4 linked regions of the Pelodiscus sinensis genome follow. The protein of the gene in region 1 purifies or fractionates together with the protein of each later gene. This does not show direct contact. Links are inferred from orthologs where the notes say so. Each region holds a gene or a part of one and is shown in the gene's direction. Other genes may lie near its edges. The genes, in order: IFT57, IFT22, TRAF3IP1 and IFT46.

Region 1 (7,019 bases):
ATTTTCCATTCTGTACTTTAACAAAGTAATAGAAATCGAGGGACTCATGAGAACCTCGGTATAAGTATCTCATTAAATAAAACTATTTAACCAATGTGTGTTTTATAACATGTTTCCCATAACAGGACAGCAGTTTCAGTTAGGCAAAACTGTAACTCTGAATATTTAACTCTCTTTACTAGATAAGTCTCAAACTCCTGGCTCATGAGCCATCCCCCTTCAGAGTGATTGCACAATCATCCAGTGTGCTCCACTTCTCCATGGCTCCTGATGCTCTGGGGAGTGCGGGGGCTTATTGACCGCTGCTGCCACACCACACCCGGCTCCCTCTGTGATTCCCAAAACTGTGTCCTTGGGAATAGAGTGCCATGGGAAGAAAGGGCAAAGGTGATGGTGGGAAGGGGTGCAGTTTGGGGAGTGGTAACGTACAGGTCTTGGGTGGAGTGTGCAATTGCTCCAGCTGGGTATGACTTGTGGGCTGGAAATTTGAGACCCCTGCTTTATAAGCTTTGACCTAAATTTTACCAGTCTAAATCTCATGTAAGTCACTGGTTGTAGTGGAGTAACTCTGTATTCTTACCAGTGAAAATAAGAGTACACTTTGTCTCTATAAACCTTCTGGTTTCACAATGAAGATAAGGCATTTCAGCTGATCATTACTTCTTTAAGATTGTAACCTGGTAACAGCTGGTTAAAGTATGCATAAGGCTTATGAGCATTAGAAGCATTCAAAGCTTTACAAATTAAGTAAGCCAAACTTGGAAAGTTGTAGATATCCAAAGCAGTATATTAAGCCAGATTACTTTTGTTGTACAAAAAAACCCCACACACAACTACAGTGTATATATATTTAAAATCCTCCACTAGCTTCAAAGAGACCAAACCCTACATCTCCTCTATTTTGATAGCCCAAACACTGGATCCATTTTACATGTTAGAAGCCTCTTTATATATACTGGCCCTGTATTTCAAAAACAGCATGGAAAAAGGGCAACATGATCCTGCTATCAGCGTTTCAGAACCAAGTAATTTTGTTCTACAGTGATAGATCCTTTGTTATTTCAGAATGATCAGAAATCAGCATGTATGTAGCAACTGAGCAGAAGTAGTCAAAAGTTGAGCTGTCTTCTGGGATCCTGTAATATGTTCACTTTGTCCTACTTCCTTTGGCACATTTTTTCCCCAAAAAAGCGGTGTAGGCCAACATTGTAATCTTTCTCCTTTAATAAAAAGTCAGAAATGGCTTAGAATTCAGTATGAGTACTAGCAACTTTTGCCAGTATAGTAACCTTGCTGAAGGGTGTAATTTTTAAAATTTTTATTTTAGTTTGACATTTCTGAACCAGCAAATGCCCTAGCAGAAGCACTTACACTGGCAGAAAACAGCTTTTGCCACTGTATTTAAACTAGCAGAAACTGTACCAGCAAAAGCACTTTTTGCCACTATAAACTGCATCTACACTTAGGAGGGTTCAGCCACCATAACAGCAAAACTTAAGTCAAACGGACCTTAAAGCCAGGTACTCTCATTTATGATTCATATGATATATAGTATAATTGATAAAAAGAATGAACACTGAATTACACACTCCATTTCCCCTCTATTTTCCCACCCCACTGTAGCATTCCACATTCTAGCAGGGTGTCTGTGTGGCCTCCACTTTTTTCATGCCAGGGGCTTCTTCCCCTCACCTTCCTTTCTTATTGACTCAGTTTGGTGAATTTCTGCAGCTGACGAGCGAGACAGTCTGGCAATATGCGATACACACTATTGTAGTTATATAGCAATTTGCGTAGCTTTTTCTGAAAAAAGGCTCTAGTGTAGACATAGCTAAATTCTTGGGAAGCAAGACACAGTGCTGAAAGATGTTCCAAAGGTAGGTTCCACAGCAGCAATAGCAGCTACCTATGTAGCCCTTCAGTGTCATCTGTGGAGACAGTGGGCCACCCAGCTTACAACAAAGCAGCAGCTCTATAAAAACATGGTTGTACCAGCTGTATTGTGGATGTTAAGAGTGACAGCTTCACATTTCTGATTCTTCTTGTCTTTGCCAGCTGTTTCATATTAAGTAGCAAGCCAAGGGCAGCCACCAAAGTATTAGTAGATGAGTAGAACAGTTTCCACCATCAGCATTAATTCTGTTTCAATGACATTATTAGGAAGATCAAAAAATTACAGAACACTTTTACTCTTATCTGTAATGATCCTTATCTGCTTCTTTTAACTATCCAATTTTTCGGTGCTTATAGATTACCAGTTTTGTCTGTTTGGTTTTCCCTTTGATATTTACATACCCCCTCTGCTTCTTGTTTCCTGCCCCCTTCCATTTTTTTCCTTCCCCCCTGTCATTTCTCCCCTATTTATTTTGGGTCTGGACATCTTAAACTCATAATTCTGGCCATCTGAAGAAGTGAACTGTGCCCACGAAAGCTCGTGATACCATCTTCATGTTTTGTTAGTCTATAAAGTGCTACCAGTCTATTCTTTTTTAAGTTTATCCTGTACAGACTAACCTGGCTACCCCCTGAAACTTTTATTACAGAATGCCACCACACAGGTGAGGGAGGGTTATATCTTGTATTTATTGCCCTCTAATATCTTGGGATAGACACAGCTACAACTATAGGGCATACAACAAAGGAAGGCATCAAATTTAATGATCTGAAGTGAAAACAAAAAGACACAGAAACAAGTCCAATAAAAGATATTATCTCACTCATATTGTCTCTCCATTATGTCTATATTAGAAACAGGATCAACAATCCACTACAACTCTTCTTAATGACTGTCTGATATTTTGATTCACATTAGTTTTGAAAAGTTTAGGCAAGACAAACTTAATGGTATAAAATTTAAAAAATCAGATCCTGTATTAAAGTTTAGATAGAAAGACCTATGAGCCTGAGTTCAATCAACAAACTAAATCATAAGAAACACATGGACATGTACTAAAGGAATAAGTAGAACAATAAGGTAACAAGGCATTTTAGTTTTGAAAGTACCCTTTAAGAAGTCAAACATATAGTTACATTACTGACCAAATACATCTATTCTTATAGTGGCACAATTCACATTTCAGTCTCTTTAATCATCTCTGTATTTTTGTTTTTCTTAAGCGTTTGGTCTAAATTGCAAAAATATACTCACAACAAATGAAATCAGTGTTTCAAGTGGCAGCACACAGTCAGCTGTTCAGAAATTAAATGTACGTTTATCTGTAAGGAGTAAACATTCCTTTGAGGTCAAAAGTCTCTTGAGCAATGCAATAAAACGTAAGGCGGAAAGGTGTGTGACTCTTACAGTTACCTAATGAATTCCTGTCACCTGAATGATACGGGGCACCGGAGAAATCTGATCTCACTAAGTGTTTCTATACAGCTGGGGTTGGGTCTGCTGCCAGCCTGAGACAGACACAAGGTAAAATGAACAGAGGGGGAAATGTATCCTTCGGAGCAAGTGGAAGCCACCTGGATGCCCAAATCTCAGCACGCCCCTCTTCTTGAGACTGCAGTGCAGGAGAGCCTGGAGACAGGCAGGGGGAGGTGCAAAGGCAACTTTCACTGGGACAACTTCTGCGGGTGAAAGGAAGGGGCAGAGCCAGCTCCCCGCCGCACAAAGCCTGCAAACCTCGCAGCGAGCCCGAGCCGGCTGCCCTCCCACGTCAGCCAGGCACAGGGCGGGCTGCGGGTGACCCAGCGCATGGCTGGACAGTCCCCTGAGAGGGGGCCGTGCCGCTCTACGCCAGCCCCGCCCGCCAGGGAGAGGGAGGCAGGCGGGGTTGGAGTAGAGCGGTTTCCTCCAATCATCTCTCGGCTCTGCCTTAGCTCCGCCCCCCCTCATCGGCAGCGAAGAAGTTTCCCCTGCCCCGCCCAAGAAGAGGGAGGGGGAGACAGAGAGAGCAGCGTCCACCCGGAAGAGCATCCCTGCTGCCTTCGCGCGCTAAGGTGTCCCTCGAGAACCCTCGAGCGGAAGTGCCACTCTAAAGGCGCCACCTGAAGGAGGAGGGGGTGGGGGGGGGGGGGGGTGCTGCGCATTCCGGCGCGGAGAGGTGATTGGATGAGTGAGCAGGGAACCCGGGAGGTGATTGGAGGAGCGGAACCAACAGCGCGGCCTGAGCCACAGCGGGGAAGTGATTGGTGGCTCGGAGTTGCGGGGGGCGGAGTTTGTTGCCCCGGAGACGCCGCGGCTGGGCTGGGGCCTGGGGTCTGCGTGCAGATGGAGGAGGAGGCCGGCGGTGCCCGCCGCGGCGGGGAGGAGCAGGAGGCGGCGGAGCGGGGCCCGGGCGCGGCCTATCACATGTTCGTGATGATGGAGGATCTGCTGGAGAAGCTGAAGCTGCTGAACTACGAGGAGGAGGCGCTGCGGCTCCACCACTTGCGGCCCCTCTCCAGGTGACCCCTGACCCCGGCCGCTGACCCCTGACCCCGCTGCCGGCACGCGCCCTCTGACCTGGGACCGTTGTCAGCGGCCCTGCCACGCGCGGGCGAGGGTCCGTGGACGGGGCCCCAGGAGGGCTCAGGGTGGGACGGGCGCGGGAGGGGCCTTTTGCTCCCCCGGCCCTTGGGCAGCTCCCAGCGCTGAGGCCTAGTTCACACTCCTGCTTTACAGCGCTGTCACTTGATGCGCTGGGGGGGGGGGGTCTGGGGGGGGGGGCTTTGCACCCCTGAACCAGTAAATTACAGGGTTGTAAAGTGCCAGTGCAGAATGTTTGCGCTGCATAGTGTATGCATGGGCCAGGGAACTGCATGTGGGACCAGGGCTTGCTTGTGAGTGAGTAGGTAGCACACACCCCTCTCTCCCTCCCCGTCCCTACCCCCCATCTCTGCCCACATTGGTGGAGCATTGATCTGTCTTTGAAACCTGGGCTTCTGGTGTACAGGTGGGGATCTTAGGGTCTCTATTCACCAGAGAATTTGTCTGTTCTGTGTCCTTCTGTGGCAGTCTTCTTCGCCTGCCAACATGTCCAGCTGTGGGGTGTTCCCAGCTTTTTACAGTCCACGGGTCCAGTAATGGTGGAAGAACTCTTTTTGCTTGTGGCTTCACTGTGGCAGAACACACACAAGAGGTCTGTGAGATTAGTGACATTTCAGCATTGGCTTCTGTCCTTTGGAAGGTGACAGCAGCAGCTCTTAGAGGGTCCACCAAGGCACTTGCAACACATTTGATGCACTTGATGCTTCCAGCCAAAGCTATGGATTCTCTATATATAGAATCATATTTCGGGAGCAGGGCCACAAGCCCAGGCTTGTGGGATCACATTATTATGAAGACTTGGGAGACGATCAGTGGCTTCAGAAAATTTTACACGTGGAAGCAGACATTCATGAAGCTGTGTGAGAAGCTTTCCCTGACCATTCTGTGCTGGGATAAGCACATGAGTGAGGCCATATCATTGAAGAAATAGGTAGCTAGTTCCATCAGAAGCTGGCTACCTCACACTGCTACAGGTCTGTTACTAACCATTTTGGTGTTGGCATTTTGCTTGTGAGGATTGTGTCTTTAAAAATGGCCAAATCAGCTTAAATCTATAGCTGCTGAGCTAGATGGAACATCTGACAGTGGATGGTGCCATGTACTTCAGGGAATGAACAGAGTTTAGGGTATTTATCAAGTGATCCATTGCCAGCTTCTGGCAGTTAACATCCAAAACGTGGCATTGTACCATGACTGTCTTGTCTAATAGCCATTAATGGACCTGTCCTTGAACTTAGCTAACTCTTTTTTTTGAACCCAGCTGTGCTTTTGCCATCACAGCATCCCTTGGCAGTGAGTTCCACAGGTTGTGTGTGGATAGAAGAAGCACCTCCTTGTGTTTGTTTTAAATGTTCTGTCTGTTAATGTCATTGCATGATCCCTGGTTATTGTAGTATCTGACTATGGAAATGACACCTTCCTGCTCAGTTTTTCCATGCCATTCACAGTTGTAGAAGTTTGTGTGAGAACTTATTACACCCACCTTTGGGTTAATCACAATTCTAATTTTACTGAAATAATTGCTGACTCTGAAGAAATCGATTTCCCACACAGAGCTAGGTCCATTGATGATACTCATATACCATAGTTCTTCCCAAGGAGCAAGTGAATGTCATCTGCATAGGGCACTATTTCATACTTATGCAGACCTTGGTCAACCACACAGGCAGATTCATGGACACCAGTGTGGAGTGTACTGGCAAAGTGCATTGTATTAGGGTGCTGAGGTGAACAGGCATTTACCCTTTTGGACAAACATGGGCTATTTCTCCAAGTGACGGGGTCTCTATGTCCAATAAGTTTAGGAGATTCTGCTTTTCTTGCCCGGGCTCATTAAATCATAGTTTAACTTAAGAGATGCTGGCAGTAGAAGATTGTTTCACACTTAGAATGATGATGGTGTGCACATTTGACAGACTCAGAGAAAGACTGTGCTGTCTGCAAAACCACTTGAATGCCGGTGTTGCTGATTCTGTCCATATCGTAGTAGCATGCTGCATATTGCACAACACCTGTAAGGCATCAGGAGAGCATTTTTACTTGGAGTAGACTGAAAATGCTGCTGGTTTGCAGGTCCAATACAGGCAACCATAAGCAGCACCAGTTATTATGGGGGCTGTATCCAGACAGGCAAAGGATTTCACACATGACTTCTATAATCTCATCCTAAGGTCACGGGTGACGGAAATAAGGGTATGTAATGCTGGTGAACTGTTATGTGCCTTGCATTTTATTGCTACTGCTATATTTTATGTGGGCTTTGCAGTATATTAAGGGCTTCCTGGAGGTTTTTTTGTGTACATGAAGTTCATTTTGGAGGTTTTTTAAAACAATTTTTAACTTTTATATCTAGGTCTAAAAGTTGGGGAAGGCACTTTGTTAGTTTGTGTTTGAAACCAGACTATGTTAACATGAACAAGACACTGTTTTAGAGCATGCCAGCAGCGTCCAGTGTTTAGCTGGAAGGCAATACACCCTTCTAATGTGCTCTTCTACTCCCTGTGGAAAAGTACTTAGATGCAAGTCACAGATCAGAGGCTGCTTG
Region 2 (7,531 bases), on another chromosome or scaffold:
AAGATGGGGTTCGTGTCTGGCTACAGTGGGCCTGTTCACATTAGAACCCATTATATCGTGTTTCTCTTTGTGCACTACTAGACATTGCAATGGTTACATTTGCTGGCTCATAAGTGCAAAATGGTTTCTCCTTTGGTCACTTCTGTCTTTTCTCTGAATGCAAGTGGATCTGGCATGTGGCATATAGTCTTGCAGCAGAAGGGACTGATTACAAATTGACCTAATTAGGTGCACAATTGGAATTAGGTAGCTGTGTGTTTCTAACAGTGTAAAATAAATCCCAGTTTGCTAAAACAGAATCAAATATGCGTTCGATGCTAAATGCAGCTGGCTTTCTTACATTACCTTTGTCTCTCATAACTTGCCCTGGAAACAATGGATTATTTCTGATCCTTTAAATGTGGCAAAAATGACACCTAGGCTCCTGGGACACTAAACAAACCTATTACATAAATCTGCAGGCTGATGGAAACACTGTATCCTCTCAGTGGGAACAAAACAATCCTGTTTCACATTTATCAGTAGCACTAATAAATATTTATATTATGATAGCACCTAAAGGTCCTATTTGAAAGCTTGTCTTAAAACGTTACTGTACCTGGGCACTAAACAACTCTGAAGCAACCCATCTGGTTGCCAGATGTTTGTACCTATATGCTGAGCCTTTAAAACTCTTCCAGCTCCCTCAGCAAAGCCTTAATAAGAAACTTACAGGATTTGTCTCTTCAATGCTCATGCTGGTGACTTGAGGAAATTCTGTCATTAGTATCACAAGATCCATGTGTTCTGGAAACTACACCAGAGAATGGCATTTCTCACACAAAATCTATACATTTTAGGTATACATATGGCCCAGATAGGTAGAAATTGAGTTATTCTCGATCTTTTAATATATTTCTCCTCATGGAAGCTCCGCTAGCCTCACTTCTACAGTGGACTAGACTAAGATTCACAAAGATGTTCAGGGTCTTAATTTCCTTTACTTTCAGTGGAAGTTAGGAACCTAAATACCATTATGGATTTGGTCCTAAATGATTAGTGCACAGTTACAAGGGAAGTCTGTGGCAAAGCAGGAAACTCTGAGGCCCTCCCTTGTGCCCTTACATCACTGACCTATCAATTCAGTTTGTGGATAGAGCCTAGCTCTATAAAGCCAGGAAAACACTGAATAACAATTTCCCTGACCTCTTCATGAGGCCCAGAGAGCCACAAATGTGCTCCAAAATAGCTGCACAGGTTGTATTCATAGAGTCATAGAATCATAGGGCTGGAAGAGACCTCAGGAGGTCATCAAGTCCAACACCCTGCCCAAAGCAGGACCAGTCCCAACTAAATCAACCCAGCCACGGCTTTGTCAAGCCAACACTTAAAAAACTCTAGGGATGAAGATTCCACCACCTACCTAGGTAACCCATTTCAGTGCTTCACCACCCTCCTAGTGAAATAGTTTTGCTAATATCCAACCTAGACCTCCCCACTGTAACTTGAGACCATTGCTCCTTGTTCTGCCATCCATCACCACTGTGAACAGCCTCTCTCCATCCTCTTTGGAACCTTCAGGAAGTTAAAGGCTGCTATCAAATCCCCCCTCACTCTTCTCTCCTGGGGACTAAATAAACCCAAATCCCTCAGTCTCTCCTCATAGGTCATAAGAACGGCCATACTGGGTCAGACCAAAGGTCCATCTAGCCCAGTATCTTGTCTACCGACAGTGGCCAGCACCAGGTGCCCCAGAGAGGGTGGACCGCAGACAATGATCAAGCGATTTGTCTCCTGCCATCCCTCTCCAGCCTCTGACAAACAGAGGCCAGGGACACTATTTTATCCCCTGGCTAATAGCCTTTTATGGACCTAACCTCCATGAATGTATCCAGCTTCTCTTTAAACTCTATTATAGTCCTAGCCTTCACAGCCTCCTCTGGCAAGGAGTTCCACAGGTTGACAACACGCTGTGTGAAGAAGAACTTTCTTTTATTAGTTTTAAACCTGCTACCCATTAATTTCATTTGGTGTCCTCTAGTTCTTCTATTATGGGAACTAATAAATAACTTTTCTTTATCAGCCCTCTCCACACCACTCATGATTTTATAGACCTCTATCATATCCCCCCTCAGTCTCCTCTTTTCTAAACTGAAAAGTCCCAGTCTCTTTAGCCTCTCCTCATATGGGACCCGTTCCAAACCCCTAATCATTTTAGTTGCCCTTTTCTGAACCCTTTCCAAGGCCAAAATATCTTTTTTGAGGTGAGGAGACCACATCTGTACACAGTATTCAAGATGTGGGCATACCATAGTTTTATACAGGGGCAGTAAGATATTCTGGGTCTTATTTTCTATCCCTTTCCTAATAATTCCTACCATCCTATTTGCCTTTTTGACCGCTGCTGCACTCTGTGTGGAAGTTTTCAGAGAACTGTCCTCAATAACTCTAAGATCTCTTTCCTGAATTGTCGTAGCCAAATTAGCCCCCATCATACTGTACGTATAGTTGGGCTTATTTTTCCCGATGTGCATTACTTTACACTTATCCACATTAAATTTCATTTGCCATTTTGTTGCCCAATCACTCAGTTTGGTGAGATCTTCTTGGAGTCCCTCACAGTCTGCTTCTGTCTTGACTATCCTAAACAGTTTGGTATCATCTGCAAACTTTACTGCCTCAGTGCTTACTCCTTTCTCCAGATCATTTATGAATAAGTTGAAAAGGATTGGTCCCAGGTCATGTGCCTCAGCCCCCTAATCATTTTGGTTGCCTGCCGCTGGACCCTCTCCAATGTGTCCACATCCTTTCTATAGTGGGGGGCCCAGAACTAGACACGATACTCCAGATATGAGCTCACCAGAGCCGAATAAAGGGGAATAATCACTTCTTTAGACCTGCTGGCAATGCTCCTCCTAATGCACCCTAATATGCCATTAGCCTTTTTGGCTACAAGAGCACCCTGTTGACTCAGATCCAGCTTCTCATCCACTGTAATCCCAGGACCTTTTCTGACAAACTGCTGCTTAGCCATTCAGTCCCTAGCCTGTAACAATGCTTGGGGTTCTTCCATCCCAAGTGCAGGACTCTGCACTTGTCCTTGTTGAACCTCATCAGATTTCCTTTGGCCCCAGTCCTTTAATCTGTCTAGGTCACTCTGGAACCTATCCTTGCCCTCCAACATATCTATCTCTCCCCCAGCTTAGTGTCATCCATAAACTTGCTGAAGGTGCAATCCATCATCTCATCCAGGTTATTAATAAAGACATTGAACAAAACCAGCCCTAGACCAAATCCTTAGGGCACTCTGCTAGAAACCAACCGCCAATCTGACATTGAGCCATTAATCACTACCCGTTGGGCCCGACAGTCTAGCCATATTTCTATCCATCTTACAGTCCATTTATCCAATCCATACTTTCTTAACTTGCTGGCAAGAATATTATGGGAGACCGTATGAAAAGCTTTGCTAAAGTCAAGGGCTACATCTACATTGACAAGATTTTGCGCAAATACTTTTAACAGTTTTTTCATTAAAGTATTTGCGCAAGAGAGCATCTACACTGGCATGTGCCTTTGCGCAAGAGATGTGCTTTTGCGCAAAAGTATCCGTGCCAGCGTAGACACTCTCTTGTTCAAGAAAGCTCCGATGGCCATTTTAGCCATCGGGCTTTCTTGCGCAAGAAATTAATGTCGCTTGTCTACACTGGCCTCTTGTGCAAGAACAGTTGTGCAAGAGGGCTCATCCCTGAGCGGGAGCATCGGAGTATTTGCACAAGGAGCACTGATTTCCTACATTAGAACGTCAGTGTTCTTGCGCAAGTACTCACGGCCAGTGTAGACAGGCAGCATGTTTCTGCATAAAAGCAGTCGCTTTTGCGCAAAAGCATGCCAATGTAGACACAGCCAAGGTATATTGCATTCACTGCCTTCCCCATATCCACAGAGCCAGTTACTTCATCATAGAAGCTAATCAGGTTGGTCAGGCATGACGTGCCCTTAGTGAATCCATGTTGACTATTCCTGATCACTTTCCCCTCTTCCAAATGCTTCAAAATGGATTCCTTGAGGCTCCCCTCCATGATTTTTCTGGGGACTGAGGTGAGGCTGACTGGTCTGCAGTTCCCTGGACTGTCCTTCTTCCCTTTTTTTTAGATTGTATTTCACCCCTTTTGTTGCTCTGGTCCATACCCCTGCATGGGAGCTTTAGAGGGTGAAAAAAGTGTTTTGATTTTTGCTACACTCATTAAAAAATCTTTTTTTCCCCTGTAGGTGTTTTTTTAACTGACTGAAGCTCAATGAGAATGGGACTCTGACTCCCAGCTAAGAGCGTTCAGCACAGGGACCAGCTTGTGCAACCCAGGGCCTTGCTGCAGTGCCAGCTCTGGGCGCGCGACCAGCGAGCGAGCCGGGCCCTGAGGGGCTGAGGGGAGGAGAAATGAGGGCGAGGGGGAGGGGCTAGACTGAGGGGGAGGGGACTGAACCTGGGCAAGGGGTCACGTGGAGCAGGAAGCTCCCTTGAGGCACGTGACGTCTCCTCCCTTCCCGCTCCGCTCCCCCTTCCGGCCACGCTCCGCTCCAATCGCAGGGCGGCTTCCCCCCGCCCTTGACAACGGCGCCGCGTTGCTAAGGTGCCGCCCGGCAACGCCGTCGGGCTCGGGGCTGCGCGGCCCGCGCCGGGATGCTGAAGGCCAAGATCCTGTTCGTGGGCCCCAGCGAGGTGAGTGCGGGGCGGGCGGCGGAGCGCAGGCCCCGTGGAGCCCCCCCCCCCGAACAGCCCCCATGGCCCCTTAGGGGCGGGGCTCGGCTCCTGAACCTCGTACGTGCCTGGGGGCTGCCCCCCCGTATCTGCCCCATGCGAATTGCCGCGCTGTCCCTCCCCACTCACACGCTCTTGGGCCTTGTCGATGTCTCGAGTGGCCCGATTGGGCGGGAAGGGCAGGGTCTGGTGTATGTCGCCCCCCCCCCCCAATGAACAGCCCAGCTGGGAGCCCCTCCCCCCAGTGTTATGGATCCCAGCCCACGAAGATCCTACGGGCTCCACCTCCTTGTGGCCATGATCCCATGGAAGTAGCCTCCTTCCCCCTCCAAACAGCAAAAACCAGGCTCCAAACTGCAAAGACCAGGGTAGGATATACACAGCCCCCCCCCCCCCCCGCCGCCCTTCCCTCTGAGCCCTACTGAATGACGTGTTAGTCACACACATGGCTTTTTGCTCCCATTTTTGGCAGTCTGGGAAGTCCGTCTTGGCAAATTTTGTGTCAGAGAGTACAGAAGGCATTAGCAGCTATGTCCCAACTCAAGGAGTGAGGTGAGCCCTGTACCATGCATACGGAAAGGAGACCCTTATTTGTGACCCCCCACCTCTTCCCCAGAGGAGGTCATGCTCTTCCTAGCATGGTCTTGTAGAATTTTATCATGCTATGAAACCACTTCTGTTTTTAGGATCCTTGAATATGAGAAGCCAAATGTGAATGGCAACAGTAAAGGGGCAGGGTGTCGATTTGAGCTCTGGGATTGTGGCGGTGATCAAAAGTAAGTGGGTTTCAAAGCTCATGTTATTTTAACAAGGTGGGTGAGGTAATATTTATTTGAGCGACACAAACTTACACAGAGCTCTTCTTCACTCAATGGCTGCGTCTAGACAGGCAAGTTTTAAAACTTGCCAGCTGTCTACACTAGCCACTTGAATTTGTGCAAGAACACTGACTATCTAATGTAAGATGGTCAGTGTTCTTGCGCAAATACTATGCTGCTCCCGTTCGGGAAAAAGCCCTCTTGCGCAAATGTATTTGCGCAAGAGGGCCAGTGTAGACAGCTAAAAACTGTTCTGCGCAAAAAAGCCCCGATGGCGAAAATGGCGATTGGCACAGCGATTTGCGCAAAAGCGTCCGTGCCAATCTAGATGCTCTTTTCCGCAAATACTTTTAACGGAAAATCTTTTCCGTTAAAAGCATTTGCGGAAAATCATGCCAGTCTAGATGCAGCCAACTTGTCTCCCTAATATCCTGGGATCAACACAGCTACAACAGCACTGCATATGAATTATTTTAACATGCATTTGTTCTGTTTCCATGGGATATAAATTCTCATATTTCAGGATATAAACCAAGTATTACCTGCCTAAAATGAGGAAGAAGCTTCCTATTTAAATAGATTATTCTATTATAAAGTTTTTTATATCTTCCTCTGAGACATCAGGCACTACGACACAAGATACTGGAGGAAGATGTACTATTTATCTGACTACATATGGCAGTTTCATTCTTGTAGCAGCTCGGAGCTATTAACACACGGAATATTATATCAGAGGAAAATGAATAAAAGGCCATCTATCTGTTAATGAATTAAGAGCATCAGCTTAAAAATCACACTTTTCTCTGAAGTCTCTCTTACTCACCATTGAGTAACAGAAAGCAGATAGAGGGAAATGTTTTGTTATATTTTCAGTTTGCTTGCTTTTGACCACTCTTTTTGAGGGATTAGGTTCAACAGCAGGGAATAAAAAGTACTTTGGGAAAAAAAGGAAAACTAAAACCACAAATTGTCAGGGGGGTTCAAGGACAGGTGTGGAATCTGAAACTATTTCTAACTCATTCTCTAAACTGTTACAAGATCAAGTTGGCAGTGACCTTTTAAGAGCTTAAGGAGTTCCAGGTGCATTGGGGGATCCATGTAGGATTAGGACCTAGATGACTAGGGGATCTTAATCCCTTAAATTGATCCACCTGACCATATGCTTATGCCTGTTGAAGTCAGTAGGGTTCTGTTTCAGCTGGTCCATTTGTAGGACTAGGACCACTCCACAAGTCAGCTCTTCAGGAGAAGGTGCTGGCCATCTGTCATGATCATGAGAGATGGCCAGCAGCCTGGGGATTAAGGGGTTAACTATACCTAACTCAGGTAGAGTTGACCAATAGGAATGTAGGTAGGAATTTCAACCTGGGACAAAGGAATTTTTGTTTTTCCCTCTCCTTTTTCCCTTGGCAGTTCCCTCCAGCTACTGAAGGAGACAGACATGTCTCTCTCTCTCCAATAAACAATTCTTCACTCTTCTGTAAGTAGGGTAAAGTTTAGATAAAGCCGTTAGGTTTTATTGTTTTATGGTTTGGGAAATAGGATCTGATGTCTGTGTACTTTTAAAAAATGTTTTGGTTTCCCTTTGTAACTAAGTTCTAGGCCCATGGTGGAGTTTCTTGATTGGCATGATTTTCCAGAAATGCTTTTAACGGAAAAGTTTTTTGTTAAAAGTATTTTCGGAACAGAGCGTCTAGATTGGCACAGACGCTTTTCCACAAAAAAGCCCCGATCGCCATTTTCGCGATTGGGGCTTTTTTGCAGAAAACAAATCTGAGCTGTCTACACTGGCCCTTTTGCGCAAAAGCTTTGCGCAAAAGGGACTTTTGCCTGCACAGGAGCAGAATAGTATTTCCGCAAGAAGCACTGATTTCTTACAGTAGAAAGTCAGTGCTTTTGCGGAAATTCAAGCATGCAGTATAGACAGCTGGCAAGTTTTTCCGGAAAAGCAGCTGATTTTCTGGAAAAACTGGCC
Region 3 (7,431 bases), on another chromosome or scaffold:
CAATAGAAGATATTCCTTTCCGCACCTTGCCTCTCAATGAGGAGAGAACAGATTCAGAGAAAGACAATAGCTGGAGGCTTGTTGTAACATGTTCCTTCACTAGATATAATAGGAACCGCTTCTCCTGATTGTACAAGCAGATTTGTTTCATCTACACTCAATAGTTTACAAAGTCCATTTAATTTGAGTCAAGAGAATAAAACAAACAAGATTTTCTATTGACATTCAATGGTGTATACTTTTGACAACACAAAGGCTGGTTATCACAGTTTTGGTTTTATTCAGAGCTACCAAACGCTGATAAGGCAGCCAGAGTTGTATGAGGGGTCAGACTAGCCTCGTCTAGTCAATAGATTGAGCAGACAAATGTTAAAAGAGAAACAATAAGTTTTTAAATGCTTGCTACAGAAATGGAACATAAATGACCAAAAGGAACAGGAAGATGTTCAATATCTAATAGAAAACTGGAAAACTGAAAGGATGATCTAAACAGGTACTTTCATATCTGGAAAACAACCCAAAATGGCAACTTACACACTTTCTTGGTTTCTACCTAGAGCAAAAACAGTGGCAATAGTTTTTTTATCTTGGGGGGGGGGGGGGGAGGGGAGGAAAAATCAGCTTTGCTTGAAAGATTTATAGATCATAAGCTTTCATGGGCAAAGATCCACTTCGTCAGATGCATGTAGTAGAAATTCCAGAGGTGGGTATAAATAGGCACATGAAAAGAAGGGAGTACCAATCAAGAGGAAGGCCAGAGAGGTCAATTTAGTCAAGGAGGATGAGGCTCACTTCTAGCAGCTGATAAGGAGGAGAAACTGCTTTTGTAGTTGGCTAGACATTCAGTTTTTGTTCAATCCTAAATTGATAGTGTCAAATTTGCAAATGAATTGTAGTACTGCAGAAGTACAATTCATTTAGGGTCTGACCTCTCAGCGTCTGAAAGTTTGATAAAACAAATCTTCAGGCAGGAGCTGCCAAACAAATATGTTGAGTGTGTGCAGAGCCATAGTCTATGTTGTTTAAAATAATGGACTAAAAACCAAGTTCCATGCGGAATAGCAATCATAGAACCATAGGACTGGAAGGGACCTCGAGAGGTCATCGAGTCCAGCCCCCCGCCCTCAAGGCAGGACCAAGCTCCGTCTACACCCTCCCTGACAGATGTCTATCTAACCTGTTCTTAAATATCTCCAGAGAGGGAGATTCCACAACCTCCCTTGGCAATTTATTCCAATATTTGACCACCCTGACAGTTAGGAATTTTTTCCTAATGTCCAATCTAAACCTCCCTTGCTGCACTTTTAGCCCATTACTCCTTGTCCTGTCCTCAGAAACCAAGAGGAACACATTTTCTCCTTCCTCCTTGTGACACCCTTTTAGATATTTGAAAACCGTTATGTCCCCCCTTAATCTTCTTTTTTCCAAACTAAACAAGCCCAGTTCATGAAGCCTGGCTTCATAGGTCATGTTCTCTAGACCTTTAATCATTCTTGTCGCTCTTCCCTGTACCCTTTCCAATTTCTCCACATCTTTCTTGAAATGTGGCGCCCAGAACTGGACACAGTACTCCAGCTGAGGCCTAACTAATGCAGAGTAGAGCGGCAGAATGACTTCACGAGTTTTGCTTACAACACACCTGTTGATACAACCTAGAATCATATTTGCTTTTTTTGCAACAGCATCACACTGTTGACTCGTATTCAACTTGTGGTCCACTATGACCCCTAGATCCTTTTCCGCCGTGCTCCTTCCTAGACAGTCATTTCCCATCTTGAATGTATGGAACTGATTGTTCCTTCCTAAGTGGAGCACTTTGCATTTCTCTTTATTAAACTTCATCCTGTTTACCTCTGACCATTTCTCTAACTTGCTAAGGTCATTTTGAATTATGTCCCTATCCTCCAAAGAAGTTGCAACCCCACCCAGTTTGGTATCATCTGCAAACTTAATAAGCGTACTCTCTATCCCAATATCTACATCATTGATGAAGATATTGAACAGTACGGGTCCCAAAACAGACCCTTGAGGAACTCCACTTGTTATCCCTTTCCAGGAGGATTTAGTACCGTTAACAACAACTCTCTGACTACGGTTATCCAGCCAATTATGCACCCACCTTATCGTGGATCTATCTAAGTTATATTTGCCTAGTTTATCAATAAGAATATCGTGGACATCCATGTCTTCTGGGCAGTTTGACCCTTAAGGAGTAATAGTTATTTTTAAAATATTGAATATCAGCAGTTCACAAGAATGTTCCAAGAAAGTCTGTTCCCTAGCACATGCCAATTCTCTTCTAGTGCTACATTTTCTTGGAGCACTTGGCTTGGTTATGTCTCTCAATTTTGACTTGATTTTACTGTTCCTAGACATATCTATTTAGCTGTATTAAAATGCATTTGTCTGCTTAACAATCCAGATAACACTGTAGCAGTGACCTGTCCTTTTCATTATTGACCACTGCACCAATTCCACATTTTTTGCTTCCAGAAAATATCTCCTCTCTCCTTTGGAATGTTCCTGGAAACTGAATGGAAATACTTTGCTCAGCTGTGTACTCCACGGATAAGAAGTCTCTAGTCTTCATATTTCTCCCCTTTTCACAGATCCCACTGCTGACACCATGTCACAACTTCCTACCATAATGTGGTGAGATTGAATGGAGCTCCCACTCAGTGCAAGTTCTAGCCAGGGCACCTAAAATAGAGACCAAACCTCCTCTGTGTCATTAATGCAGGACACTTCCTTCAATTCCAAGTGCTTCTCTGTGGGCCCAGAGGGATGTCCATAGTCTGTGGGCTGTTTAGCCTTTGACTCTAGCTAAACCAATCCACCCTTTCTCAGCATACCAACTCGCCATCCAAATAAACAGTGAAGTTCACATTTAACAACCCCTGAGGACTCTCCCTCCCAGTCTCTCAGGCATCATAGATACTTCATGGAGAGCTAGTGGCAGAAGTCCAAATGAACCAGACCATTCCAAAATAAACACAGTTCCTCCCCAGCTTCTTCTTCCCACTCCTCTGGATTCCTAACAAGACTTCTTACAAAGTCCTTGGCTGTAGGAAAGTGTCAACACCTCCTCTTCCCAGGCTCCTCAGTTCCCCTGAGGCAGAGTTAGTCTGGGAATCTCGTCAATTTCAGATTGTCTCAAAGGGAGAGGAAAGAGGCAAACTACTTCCTTTGAGCTCTTTGTGCTGAAGTACCTTCTATCAGGTGTCCAGAGGCAAACTTGCCTGAACTAATGTGAATTTGTGCCTCTCTCCCCCACCCCCTAATTTGTTTCTGAAGCAGTTTGAGAGTCCTGATCAGTTAGTCTCACTCGGCCTCTCAGCTGTCCCCCAGCACTTGGACTTGAGTTTGTCTGAGGAAATACTAATGTTTGGGGAAAGGAAAGTTGGGAGGGATACCAGTCAACCTGTAACAATTCCTGCTTTAGTGCTGGGAGCTTGGGCTGATAAAGGTGTATAGGTATATGGGCTCAGCGAGTGCTCCACAGACTTTTGAAGAGTCTACATCTGCCTGCACTAGAAGCAGCTGGGGTTTGTGTCTCCTTGTCATCTCTGGGGTGCCTGAGCAGTGAGTCAGGGCTTGGGGTCAGGGTCTGGGAAGACAGATAGCTGAGACCCAGACTTGCCCACCATGGGAAAGCTCAAGGTTTTGCCCTTCTGTCACGTGGGACTCATGCTGACCACAGAGCTTCCAGTTTGGCATGAAATCATTAGCTTAGTGGGAAGTGCAGAGAGCCCGCAAGAGACCTGCTGGAATGGGAGCCAGGCCAGCTCGGGCCTCTGGGGAGAGAGAACTTGGGGTGGCCCTTGGGCAGGGACAGACTCAGCCCACAGGCACCATAGGTACAGCCAGGTGAGGTGTATACCCCTGTGGGGAGATGAAGGGTGGCAGGGAGCTGCTGGGCCCAAGTGTGCCCCACAGGCATCCCTATTGCCCCATACGCAGCCCTGTGCCCCAATTGCCCCACAGGCATCCCTATTGCTCCACGGGCAGCCCTGTGCCCCAATTGCCCCACAGGCAGCCCTATTGCCCCATAGGCAGCCCTGTGCCCCAATTGCCCCACAGGCATCCCTATTGCCCCATAGGCAGCCCTGTGCCCCAATTGCCCCACGGGCAGCCCTATTGCCCCACGGGCAGCCCTGTGCCCCAATTGCCCCACGGGCAGCCCTGTGCCCCAATTGCCCCACAGGCATCCCTATTGCCCCATAGGCAGCCCTGTGCCCCAATTGCCCCGTGGACGCCCCTGTGCTCCAAGAGCATCCCTATTTGCCCCCGCCCCGCGCGCCAGCTCTGCCGCCCGGACGCCCGGCCAGGGAGCGCGGCAGCGCCATTGGCTCCTGCGCGGCGGGGCGGGGCCGGGGGCGGGGCCGAAGCAGGCGCCTTCGGCCCGTTGCTAGGGCCGCGGTGGGCAGCGAGCGGCCGGGGCGCTGCGCCTGCGCACGGCGGGGGCGAGGTGCATGCCGGGAGGGCGCAGCCGGAGCCGGCCCGGCCGGTGCCGCCATGGACGGGGCCGTGGTGCGGCGCACTCAGGAGTCGCTGGGGCGCGTGATCCGCAAACCGCCGCTCACCGAGCGCCTGCTCAGCAAGCCGCCCTTCCGCTACCTGCACGACGTCATCGGCGAGGTGGGGGCGCCGCGCGGCCGGTTGCTAGGCGGGGCCCGGGGGTGGGGGGCTGAGGGGCGGGGCTCGAAGGGTTCTGGGGGGCTCTGGTAGGGCGGGGCTCCCTAGGGGGCGCTGGGGGGCTCTTGAGGGCGGGGCTCCCCAGGGGTGCTGTGGGCTCTGTGGGGCAGACCTCAGGGGGTGCTGGGGGGCTCTGGTAGGGCGGGGCTCCCCAGGGGTGCTGTGGGCTCTGTGGGGCAGACCTCAGGGGGTGCTGGGGGGCTCTGGTAGGGCGGGGCTCCCCAGGGGTGCTGGGGGTTCTGTGGGGCAGACCTCAGGGGGGTGCTGGGGGGCTCTGGTAGGGCGGGGCTCCTCAGGGGGGTGCTGGGGGGCTCTGGTAGGGCGGGGCTCCCCAGGGGTGCTGGGGGTTCTGGGGGGCGGGGCTCAGGGAGTGCTGTGGGCTCTGGGGGGCAGAGCTTAGGGGGTGCTGGGGGATTCTGGTAGGGCGGGGTTCTCTGGGGGCACTGTGGGCGGGGCTCGGGGTGCTGGGGGACTCTGGAGGGCAGAGCTCCCCAGGGGGTTGGACGCAGGACCCCACTGGCCTGGGACCTTGGTGAGCCCCCCCCCCCCCCCCCCGTGGTGCCCTCCCATCTGCCTGGAGGAGGGCGTGCAGCAGTAGGGGGAGGGGTAGCTATTTACCTACCTACCAGCAGCTAGGGATGTGAATGGGTAACTGGTTACCTGGTGAGCATCACCCTTATGCTTCTGCTGCCACTTCCCCTTCCCTCAGGGGTGCAGGAGCAGAAGCTGGCTCCCCTGAGCACAGAGGGGACAGAACCCTGAGTTGGAGGGTGGGCACATGCAGGAGCAGGAGCCCATTTGTTTGGTTAAACCAGAGGTGTAACTAATTAACAGATTACCTGGGATTTTACATCCTGACCAGCAACCCTTCTATTGCTTTGGTTTCTCTCTCACTCTTTTGCCTTTTCCAATGTGTGAAATGGAGGCAAGAATTTTTGCTCCTCTTAAATAAAAAACAACACCCACCCCCATCTCCCAAACCTTACAGCTGCAGGTGAAAGATATTACCAAAGTAGAAAACATTTGTGGTCGTTAGTACTACAGTAGGTGCTTGTTTACAGCAACACCTTATAAAAGCAACCACTGCTTATGAACATTTCTCGTGGGAATGCTTTCCCCACCCACCATGACCTGGCAGCAAGCCCTAGAATTGCAATAGGTGTTTAGAAGCTAAGTAGCAAAAGGCGCCCCTGTGTGGCTACTAATGAACATCTACTATAGAATAAAAGGTGAGCACTCCTACACTCTGAAAGATATTCACAAAGCTTATCCTTTTTTGCCTTCTTTTAGTCAAAGGAAGGTCAAAATGGATTATTCATTAGAAGATGTTAAATTCCCTGAACTCAAGTATGTGCATGTCTATTAAGAAATCAGCCACCACGTGTTAGGCAGTAACAGAATACATCGGGACTGTCGTTAAAGTATATGGCCTTTGGGTGTATTAACTGTAATTTTCTGCGTAAAACAAAAAGGCTTCATCTACACTGCAGGCTATTCTTGCACAAAAACTTGCAGAGCGTCTATGCTGCACGCGCGTTCTTGCGCAAGTAAATTTACAGTACAGCGTTGGAAAACACGGCTTCTTCCAGAAGAGTTATTCCTCTTCCCATGAGGAATAAGCCCTCTTGCGCAAGAGCTCTTCCACAAGAAGGCAGTGTAGACAGGCAATAGCGGTTTCTTGTGCAAGAAAGCCCTATGGCTAAAATGGCCATCAGAGCTTTCTTGCACAAGAGAGCATCCACACTGCCATGGACACTCTTGCGCAAAAGCACATCTCTTCCACAAAAGCACATGGCAGTATGGACACACTCTTGTAGAAGACCTTTTGCACAAGAACTCTTGTGTAAAACAGTTCTTGCACAAGAAGTCTGCAGTGTAGACGTAGCCTTTAAAGTGAATCTTCTGTACTGCAGAGATATAATGATTCAAAGGAAGGAGACTTTAAAAAAAAAAAAGAGCAAGCTTCAAATGACTTATTGAAACCCATGACAGAAGAGATCATTGCAATAGAAAGGATCTTTAAAACTGCACCACCAAAATAGTTCAGCATGAAATAGCATCCCTCCAAGTGATTGCAGAAAGTTTGTAAAAGATGGGGTTTTTTGGAAGCTTTCTAGTTTTTTTTTTTATTATTATTAATTTACTGTGTTTGCTTTGAAGGTAATTAGAGTGACTGGTTTTATGAACGGGCTTTACACAGACTTTGAGATGAAATCTGATAATGTGAAGGTGGGTTTGAAATTTCCTTATTTAATGTTGGAATTCTTTATAACTGGTCACTAGCTATTGCCACTTTGTTTCACTGAATTCTATTTACTATGATAAACCTACACTCATCTGAAGCTAATGCCCAGGAATATGCTTAAATGCTGCCTTTTTAAAAGTGTGGTGGTGGTGGTGTGTTGTGGTTGTGCATAGGCAAATAACTCTAACTTTTTGTGTATTGTTTACTTACATAAAAAACGTTGAGATTTTTACAGAATCTGTTGGTGTTGTTTGATATCTTGAGAACTGTTTATTAAACACCTTTTGTGCATATTCTTACCAAGTTAGGTGCTTGTACATGGAGCGGTAAAGTGAATGAGTTTTCATGTCTGGGTGTCTGAGTAATGAAGTGGAGCTCTGGGCCCTTTGGAAAGATTGTCATGTGCAGGAGCTCTGTAATGGACTGTCAATGTCATGAGCTGCATAAAAAGCTCCAACACTTGTGTTAGTAGTTAACAGGTATTTTATTGT
Region 4 (7,067 bases), on another chromosome or scaffold:
ACCCAAACCACACCGTGAGCCACATGTTGAGTAGCCCTGCTGTAAGCTTTTCACTATTACAGTCCTGGAAGTCCTGTCCTTGCTTTCCATTCACAATCCTCTGGCTCATCTGATGGGAGATGACATCTCCACAAAGCCTGCCAGTCCATTGTACAAAAGTGCCCCTGTGGATGATGTAGTAAGTATGCTTAGGGCTTCTGGACTGCCTAGTGATATGCTGTATTCCAATTAGGCAATGGTGGGAACCTGAGACTCATTTCTAACCTGTGCATATCATGGGCTTGCATTGCTCTCGGAGTTGGACTAATGTAAGGTAACGGTCTTCTGTTCATATGCGTTTTAGTAGTTAAATTCCTTGACTGTCATTACTCATTCAAAGTGCTGTGAGATGGGTGGAAAGCAGGTAAATATTGCATTGTATTAATATTAGCAGAACTGACTTAAATTGGGCCTGTGTGTTGCATAGGCTTGTCTTAATCTCTGTATTCATGCCTGTCAATGTGAAAAGTAATTTGAATATAATTGCATATATATTTGCATGTATATGCAACCACACTTAGGTTGTGGCCATCGGCATGTGCTCATCATTGTGGCCCCCGGGGCTTCCACAGTTGAGTAGCCCTGACTTACAGCCTTCAACTACCCTAGGATGGCTGAGTCTGATTACCACTTGAATGAGGCAGTAAACACACACAAAATTCAGAGGTTCTACTAAAGAAGAAAGCCTTCATATTCTTTAAAAGCCTTTAATTTGTATAAACAATTAATGTAAGTTCACCTAAGGAAGCGGTCACAGATTACTGTATGCTTATAATGTACCGCAATTCCTTTGACACTGTCTCTCTGAGTCAAGCATTACCACTTAGGAAGCAAATACTGATGATGTGTCATTGCTTCATCCCAGTCACTGACAACCCAAAAGCATGTATGTCAGGTTTGAGCATATTCCACTGTTCAGTCACAGTGGACTTTTTTCAGGCTTTGGACATTGGCCTGTTAGTACTGATTAGTGCGTCAATACGGGAGACTCAGAAAAGTTAACACATCCTTAGTCTCCACTTTGCAAGGATCTAGAGTATAAAAATACTGTTTTAACATATAAAATGTCCCAGTGATCTGCACAATCTAAGGTCACTAGATCAAGAATTTCAAGAAAGTCCTCACTCTTTGTACAGCTATGCTGAACAATTGCATATGGCAGCTTGCATATCTTGTAACTTAAAAACAAATATATAAACAAACATCAGATTTAATTGTTCGGATTTATTTGATTAGATTTAACTAACATTGCAAGTCTAACACCTCAATATTTAACTAGGTTTTAAAAGGTTGGCTCCATTTATTAATTCACAATTTTGTTACTTAGGAGATAGTACTTTCTGGGTGGGGAGAGCACATTACAAACACCCCACATTAAAAAAGTAAGAATTTTCAACCTGCCATAATTTCTTGAGACTACCTTGGGAAAGCAAGAGATACGCCATGTTAAAGATACTTAATATCTTATGCTGCATTGCAAATATTTTGATTCTTTTTCACAGGGGACAAAAATTAAATTAGGTATTCTTGGTTTGGAATTTGTTTTAAAGGCCAAGAGGTTTAAAACAAAAAAGACAGTATTTCTTCAGGCAACACATGGTCAACCTGTGAAACTCCTTGCCAGAGGAGGTTGTGAAGACCAGGACTTTACCAGGGATTAAAAAAAGCTATATAAATTCATGAAGGGTAAGTCCATCAATGCTTATTAGCCAGGATGGTAGGAATGGTGTCCCTAGTCTCTGTTTGTCAGAGACTGGGAATGGGTGAAAGAGGAGGGTTTTCACTTGATGATTGCCTCTTCCGTTCATTCCCTCTGTGGCACCTGACATTGGCCACTGTTGGAAGACACAAGACTGGTCTCTATGGTCTGACCCAGTATGGCCATTCTTATGTACATTGTTCTTAGCCTCACTAAATTAAATTACATATTCTCCCAGTAATAAAAGGTTATAGCAAAGCAATTCCTCATTAAAGGAGCTGTGAAATGTGAATAGTTAAGAATTATATCAAACTAATCCTCAAACACCACAGGATATTTGAATAGAAAGAATTTGATATTATGTACAAATCTGAAACTGAAACAAAGTTATATAGCACTTGATTTTGATGCATTATGCTTACTAAGAAAAGAGTCAAATTATCTCTCTTTTTTTTTTTAAAACACAGTTCAAATATTTATCCCAGTAAATTCAAAGACCACAAAACTAGCTGGAAAGAAGAACAATTATTCAAAGGAACAACCCCAAAAGGTACATGCTCTTTTAAATTAATCTGTCCTTGTGTGCAAATTATCCCACACTGCACTTTGCTTGCTATACTGTCATGACAGTGTGAAAGGTCTAGGTTGGATATTAGGAAAAACTGTTTGACTAGGAGGGTGGTGAAGCACTGGAATGGGTTACCTAGGGAGGTGGTGGAATCTCCATCCATGGAGGTTTTTAAGTCTCAGCTTGACAAAGCCCTGGCTGGGTTGATATAGTGGGGATTGGTCCTGCCTAAAGCAGGGGGCTGGCCTTGATGACCTCCTAAGGTCTCTTCCAGCTCTATGATGTGTAACATTTTCCTCTATATCATTTAACAGGTCTTTTCTCTAATCAAAGTTGTTTCTCCACCTCTAACAGGGTATGAAGCTGTTTAACACTCATTTACTAATTTATCAAGAAATGTAAGCAAATTATACTATCCTTGGCCACAAAAACCACATGCTTGAAGTTGGGTACAAGCCTGTTACTACAAAGAGTCAAATGTAATTTACTGCAATTAGGAGCCAATCTAGCCTCTTTGCAATACAAAGAGCTACAATGTGAGTTCATAAAAAACAGAATACAACTGATACACGTTTAAATCCCCTACATGAAGCTATATATATGTATATATTTGTATCGTTCCAAGCTGATATATAGATCATATAGATGTATTGACCTGTTTATACAAACTCTGGACCAATATTAAACTGTAGGATTAGTAAGCAATTTTTCATGCCCACTTGACATGACTTAAAGGAACCTGATATTCAGACAGTGTGAAGTAATCAATCTCTGAAAGTAAGGCTCTTTCAACTGGACAAGCAAAGTAAATGTACTTGGACTAGATTTAAAACCCCCCACAAATGCAGGGTCACAAGGTCTGAGGTCACAAGATCATGAGGACAACTGGATTATTTTCCCAGATATATTATTGATTCATGTAATTTTCGGGAAGACCACTTAACTGCTGTGCACCTCAAGTTTTGCCAACGTAAACTTAAGATAATATCTGCACAACAGGGTTATGCACGTTAATACCATTAGCAATAAAGTACGTTGAACTACAGTATTCTCACACGTTTGTAGACAGGTTTTAGCCAACTGTGTGTACTGCTGTGATCTTACACATGGATCTACCCAGCCCATGTCCAGCGGTCAGGTTAGACTCAGACCCGTCCACACGGCCGTGTGACCAAGCCCGGGAGCGGCGAGGTGCCACAAGCCTCTCTCCGCCGCAGGGGGCTGGCCGCTTGGCAGGGCGGCAGAGGTGTCCCAGGCCAGGCCCGGGACCTGCCCGGAACCGGCATCGCCGGCTGCCCGCGGAGAGGCCCCCACAGCGGGGCAGGCCCACGCGAGGCCCCGAGAGCCACACGCCGGCGGGCGGCCCGAGGCCTGGGGCGAGCGGCCGCCGCGGCAAGGCGCCAGGCAGGGGCACGAAGAGGCCGGGCGGGAGCGCGGCCCGGCGCTTACCATGGCGGCGGAGCGTGACTGCGGCCCGGCGCGCTCAGTCTCCCGCGGCCTCAGCAGCGGCCGCCGCGTCTCCCTCCCGCGGCCCCACAAGATGGCGGCGCCGAGCCACGTCCCCAGCCGGAAGCGCCGCCACGCACGGGGGCGGGAGCACCTCGCTCCTCCCCCGCCCGCCGCGCCGCGTGGGTGCGGTGCTCTGAGCCCCGGAGACCCCGCCCCTTGCTGGGGAGGCCCATGCGCGCGCGAGCAGGGGCGGGGCCCGCACGCAGGTGAGAAGCAGAAACACCCCCCCCCAGACTGCGCGTTCCAGCCCGCGCTCCGACAGCCCCGCGCACCTGTCATTCTTTCCTTGCAGTGACGCGGCCCGGCCGCTAGGGGCCGCTGCGCGACGCCCTCCCCTTTCCACAGGAGAGGAGACGCATGGACGTGACTCGATCCGGCCGCCGTAGAGCTGGGGCGGCAACTCTCGCGAGAGCCAGTTTCCAGGGTGACGGGACACAGGGGGTGATGGAGGCCCGGCCTCGGGCAGGGCCCTGAAAGCCGGGACATGGCGGAGGCCCTGCAGGTGACTGGGGGCGGGGGTTGAAACCGTAGCAGGGGGCGGCGCTGCCCGGGTGCTCTGGGTCCCGAAAGGCCCGAGCACCCGCCGGGCAGCCCCAGGCCGCTCCCGGCGCTTTGCAGTCGGCAGCGACAGTGACCCGGACGCGCTTGTCTTTGTCACTAGACCAAAATAGTGGAAAACCAGCCCTACGACGAGAGCCTGGAGATCAACGACTCCGAAGAGGTGGCCAGTGTCTACACCCCAACTCCACGGCAGCGAGGTAGGGCCGCCGCCTCCGCTCCCTCCCTCCCTCGCCGCCGCCGCCGCCGCCTCCGCTCCCGCCCTAAATGCCGACGGGCAGCTTGAGCCTCGCTGCTACAGCGTCTTAGCCTCCCCCAGGGGATGAAAACTCAGTTCCTCAAAACTGGAGGGGAGCAGGCTCGTTGGGATTCGCTGGACGCACGGTGCTGTGGGGGTAAAGCAGAACACGCGTTTTAAATACCAAAGGTGTTCCCTGGGGGTGAAAAAGAAGCTTGAGAGACTAGATGCGGTAAGGACAATTGTCACAAACCTAGGCGTGCACGTGGTTGGTGGAATAGGGATTTGGGCTTTTCCACCGTGGCTAGCCCAGCTGCAGTCTAGTCTAGTTCAGCCTCATGCTGCAATTGAGTAAACATGACTGTTAGAACTTCAGTGTAGGGCCTGTGTAGATAGGTGCCTCAATGTGATAATCCAAGCTGCAATCTCACAACCAAGCTTGGGTAGCATATATACAGAAACCTTCTTGATGATCTCTTCAGCAGGTCCTAGGTCCACATGCTCACAGCTCAAAAACATGGCTGATAACAGCAGTGATGAGTATGATGAAGAAATAAACAAGGTATGAGGTTGTCCATGTTCTTCTTTGCTGATGTAGTTGATCACAGCATTTTGTAGCCCCCATCTACCTGGGACTTGTTATCTGTATGTTGAGTCCTACTGGGGAAATTTCTTAATGTTTTGTGATTATTTTTAAGACCCATTTTGAGTAGAAAGAAATGTAATTGCAGTACTTTTTGGCAAGACACATTATTTGTACTAGAAATAGAAGGTAAGGAGGGGGTCAGATTTCTTTTTTCTTCAAGTAAAACAGATGGAACAATGTATATGAATTTGGGAGAATCGGTCTAGAAGGGAATTTTCACATCATGGTAGCTGATACCATCCAGTGTGGATATAATGAATACCAGGCCCACTGACGAAGTGGGTCTTTGCCCACAAAAGCTTATGCTCCAATACATCTGTTAGTCTATAAGGTGCTACAGGACTCCTTGTTGCTTTTACCAGGCCCACTGTTGTTCAGTGGCTGAAGTGGGATAAAAAGAGGGTTGTCAGAGATCAATAGCTTACACCCACGTTTGGCTGGAAACGTAGGGAGTGTTTTTTACAGTTTAGAGAACATACACTGACTATAGGTCAGGACTCCTGAGTTCTATGTCCAGCTCTGTACTAATCAGTTGTGTGGCTTTGCGTGAGCCAGTTTTCTCCTATCTATTTCAGTTTCTCTGGCTGTAAAGTGGGATCATAGTACTTACTGCCTTGGAAAGGGCTGAGTACTGTTTATAAACCATTTTGAGATTCTCTAAAAAAGATAAATTCTTGTTTGTTAGAACTAAATATTCCTCCCCCCCCGCCCCATTGCTGAAACCCATGCATTTGGGTCAGACTAAGAGCAGTAGTAACCCTAGATTAATTGTCTGTGCTGGCATTCCTTTTCCATACCACCCAAGGAAGTTTCTTTTTCACACAGCAGTGCCACCCGTATGTGGCAAACTTTGAACAGAGGGTGTTTTTCTGTTTAGAATGAAAAATGGCAGAGCTGGGAAATGGGGCTGTTGGGAACGTCTGTTGCACCATAACTTTGGTTTTAACATGACCTAGGAAAAGAAGGTAGCTCAACTGGCCCCACAGCGAGGATTTAGTGAGAACGAGGATGGAGAGGATGAGGATGATTCGTCTGAAACTGACTCGGACGATGACGATGATGAAGAGGAGCATGGAGCCCCTTTGGAGGGGTATGAAGGACTCTCAATTTATAAGAACAGTTAGAGGAACCACTGGAATTAAAGTCAAGATCTCCCTTATGAGAGAGACCTGTTCCATCCTAACAGGCCAAATGAGTAATGTTATATTCTGACAGTACTGTGCAGATGTGTCTTTAGATTAGACAGTGTGGGATAAGGGGTTTAAAAGCTGAGACAGATAATATACAGATGCAATGGCACAGTAAGTTTTCAGAGTATCAGCCCTGAAAAATGAAGATACAACGATATAGCTATATTAAGGGGGGAGGGTAGGGTAGAGGGAATGCCATTGACCGTGTGGACAGGACGAGTGTCACTGGGATTTGACATGCATCAGTAAAGATGCATTGTTCATAGATAGAATTGTTCTTAGAAAACTTAAAACTTGGATTCCTAAGCAAGATTCTGAAGTGTTCATTGACACAGGGAGAATTCTTAATTTCAAGTATGCCTGTTAAGTTTCCTGCCTACAAATACCTGCTCATGAACATTTTGAGGTAGCATAGAGCGTAGCCAGGTAGCCTGGCAAAAACTCAGACTTAGTATGATAAACTAGCAGTAACAGAAGGCAGGGATATTAGTGGACCCATTAATATACTCAAAGCATTGTGCTGGACAAAGACAGAATGCAATTGTCTGAAAGAGAGTACAGATGTCTAGCATGCAGGCTAGCCTGCCTCAAGGGAAGTAATTGTTTTATCATTACATTGT

What was found.
Region 2: the proteins of IFT57 (region 1) and IFT22 purify together in Homo sapiens (affinity purification with mass spectrometry; 3 studies listed by BioGRID and IntAct, counting the BioPlex papers as one, with this or other methods). This does not show direct contact. The link is inferred for Pelodiscus sinensis from reciprocal best matches to the Homo sapiens genes IFT57 and IFT22.
Region 3: the proteins of IFT57 (region 1) and TRAF3IP1 purify together in Homo sapiens (affinity purification with mass spectrometry; 3 studies listed by BioGRID and IntAct, counting the BioPlex papers as one, with this or other methods). This does not show direct contact. The link is inferred for Pelodiscus sinensis from reciprocal best matches to the Homo sapiens genes IFT57 and TRAF3IP1.
Region 4: the proteins of IFT57 (region 1) and IFT46 purify together in Homo sapiens (affinity purification with mass spectrometry; 3 studies listed by BioGRID and IntAct, counting the BioPlex papers as one, with this or other methods). This does not show direct contact. The link is inferred for Pelodiscus sinensis from reciprocal best matches to the Homo sapiens genes IFT57 and IFT46.

The regions. Positions count from the first base shown.
Region 1 is NC_134711.1:154,984,262-154,991,280, reverse strand, and holds the start of IFT57 (intraflagellar transport protein 57 homolog), read left to right. Parts: upstream 1-4,018; 5' UTR 4,019-4,057; coding exon 4,058-4,392; intron 4,393-4,700; exon of another isoform or gene 4,701-5,010; coding exon of another isoform or gene 5,011-5,066; intron 5,067-7,019. UniProt on the Homo sapiens protein: Required for the formation of cilia. Plays an indirect role in sonic hedgehog signaling, cilia being required for all activity of the hedgehog pathway.
Region 2 is NC_134731.1:26,092,800-26,100,330, reverse strand, and holds the start of IFT22 (intraflagellar transport protein 22 homolog), read left to right. Parts: upstream 1-4,514; 5' UTR 4,515-4,660; coding exon 4,661-4,699; intron 4,700-5,210; coding exon 5,211-5,290; intron 5,291-5,424; coding exon 5,425-5,514; intron 5,515-6,969; exon of another isoform or gene 6,970-7,036; intron 7,037-7,531. UniProt on the Homo sapiens protein: Small GTPase-like component of the intraflagellar transport (IFT) complex B.
Region 3 is NC_134717.1:64,455,922-64,463,352, reverse strand, and holds the start of TRAF3IP1 (TRAF3-interacting protein 1), read left to right. Parts: upstream 1-4,424; 5' UTR 4,425-4,515; coding exon 4,516-4,638; intron 4,639-6,855; coding exon 6,856-6,924; intron 6,925-7,431.
Region 4 is NC_134736.1:860,848-867,914, forward strand, and holds the start of IFT46 (intraflagellar transport protein 46 homolog), read left to right. Parts: upstream 1-4,050; 5' UTR 4,051-4,299; coding exon 4,300-4,317; intron 4,318-4,476; coding exon 4,477-4,573; intron 4,574-4,601; exon of another isoform or gene 4,602-4,843; intron 4,844-5,093; coding exon 5,094-5,173; intron 5,174-6,213; coding exon 6,214-6,347; intron 6,348-7,067. Other genes in the region: ARCN1 (coatomer subunit delta), read right to left, coding at 3,756-3,758. UniProt on the Homo sapiens protein: Forms part of a complex involved in intraflagellar transport (IFT), the bi-directional movement of particles required for the assembly, maintenance and functioning of primary cilia. May play a role in chondrocyte maturation and skeletogenesis.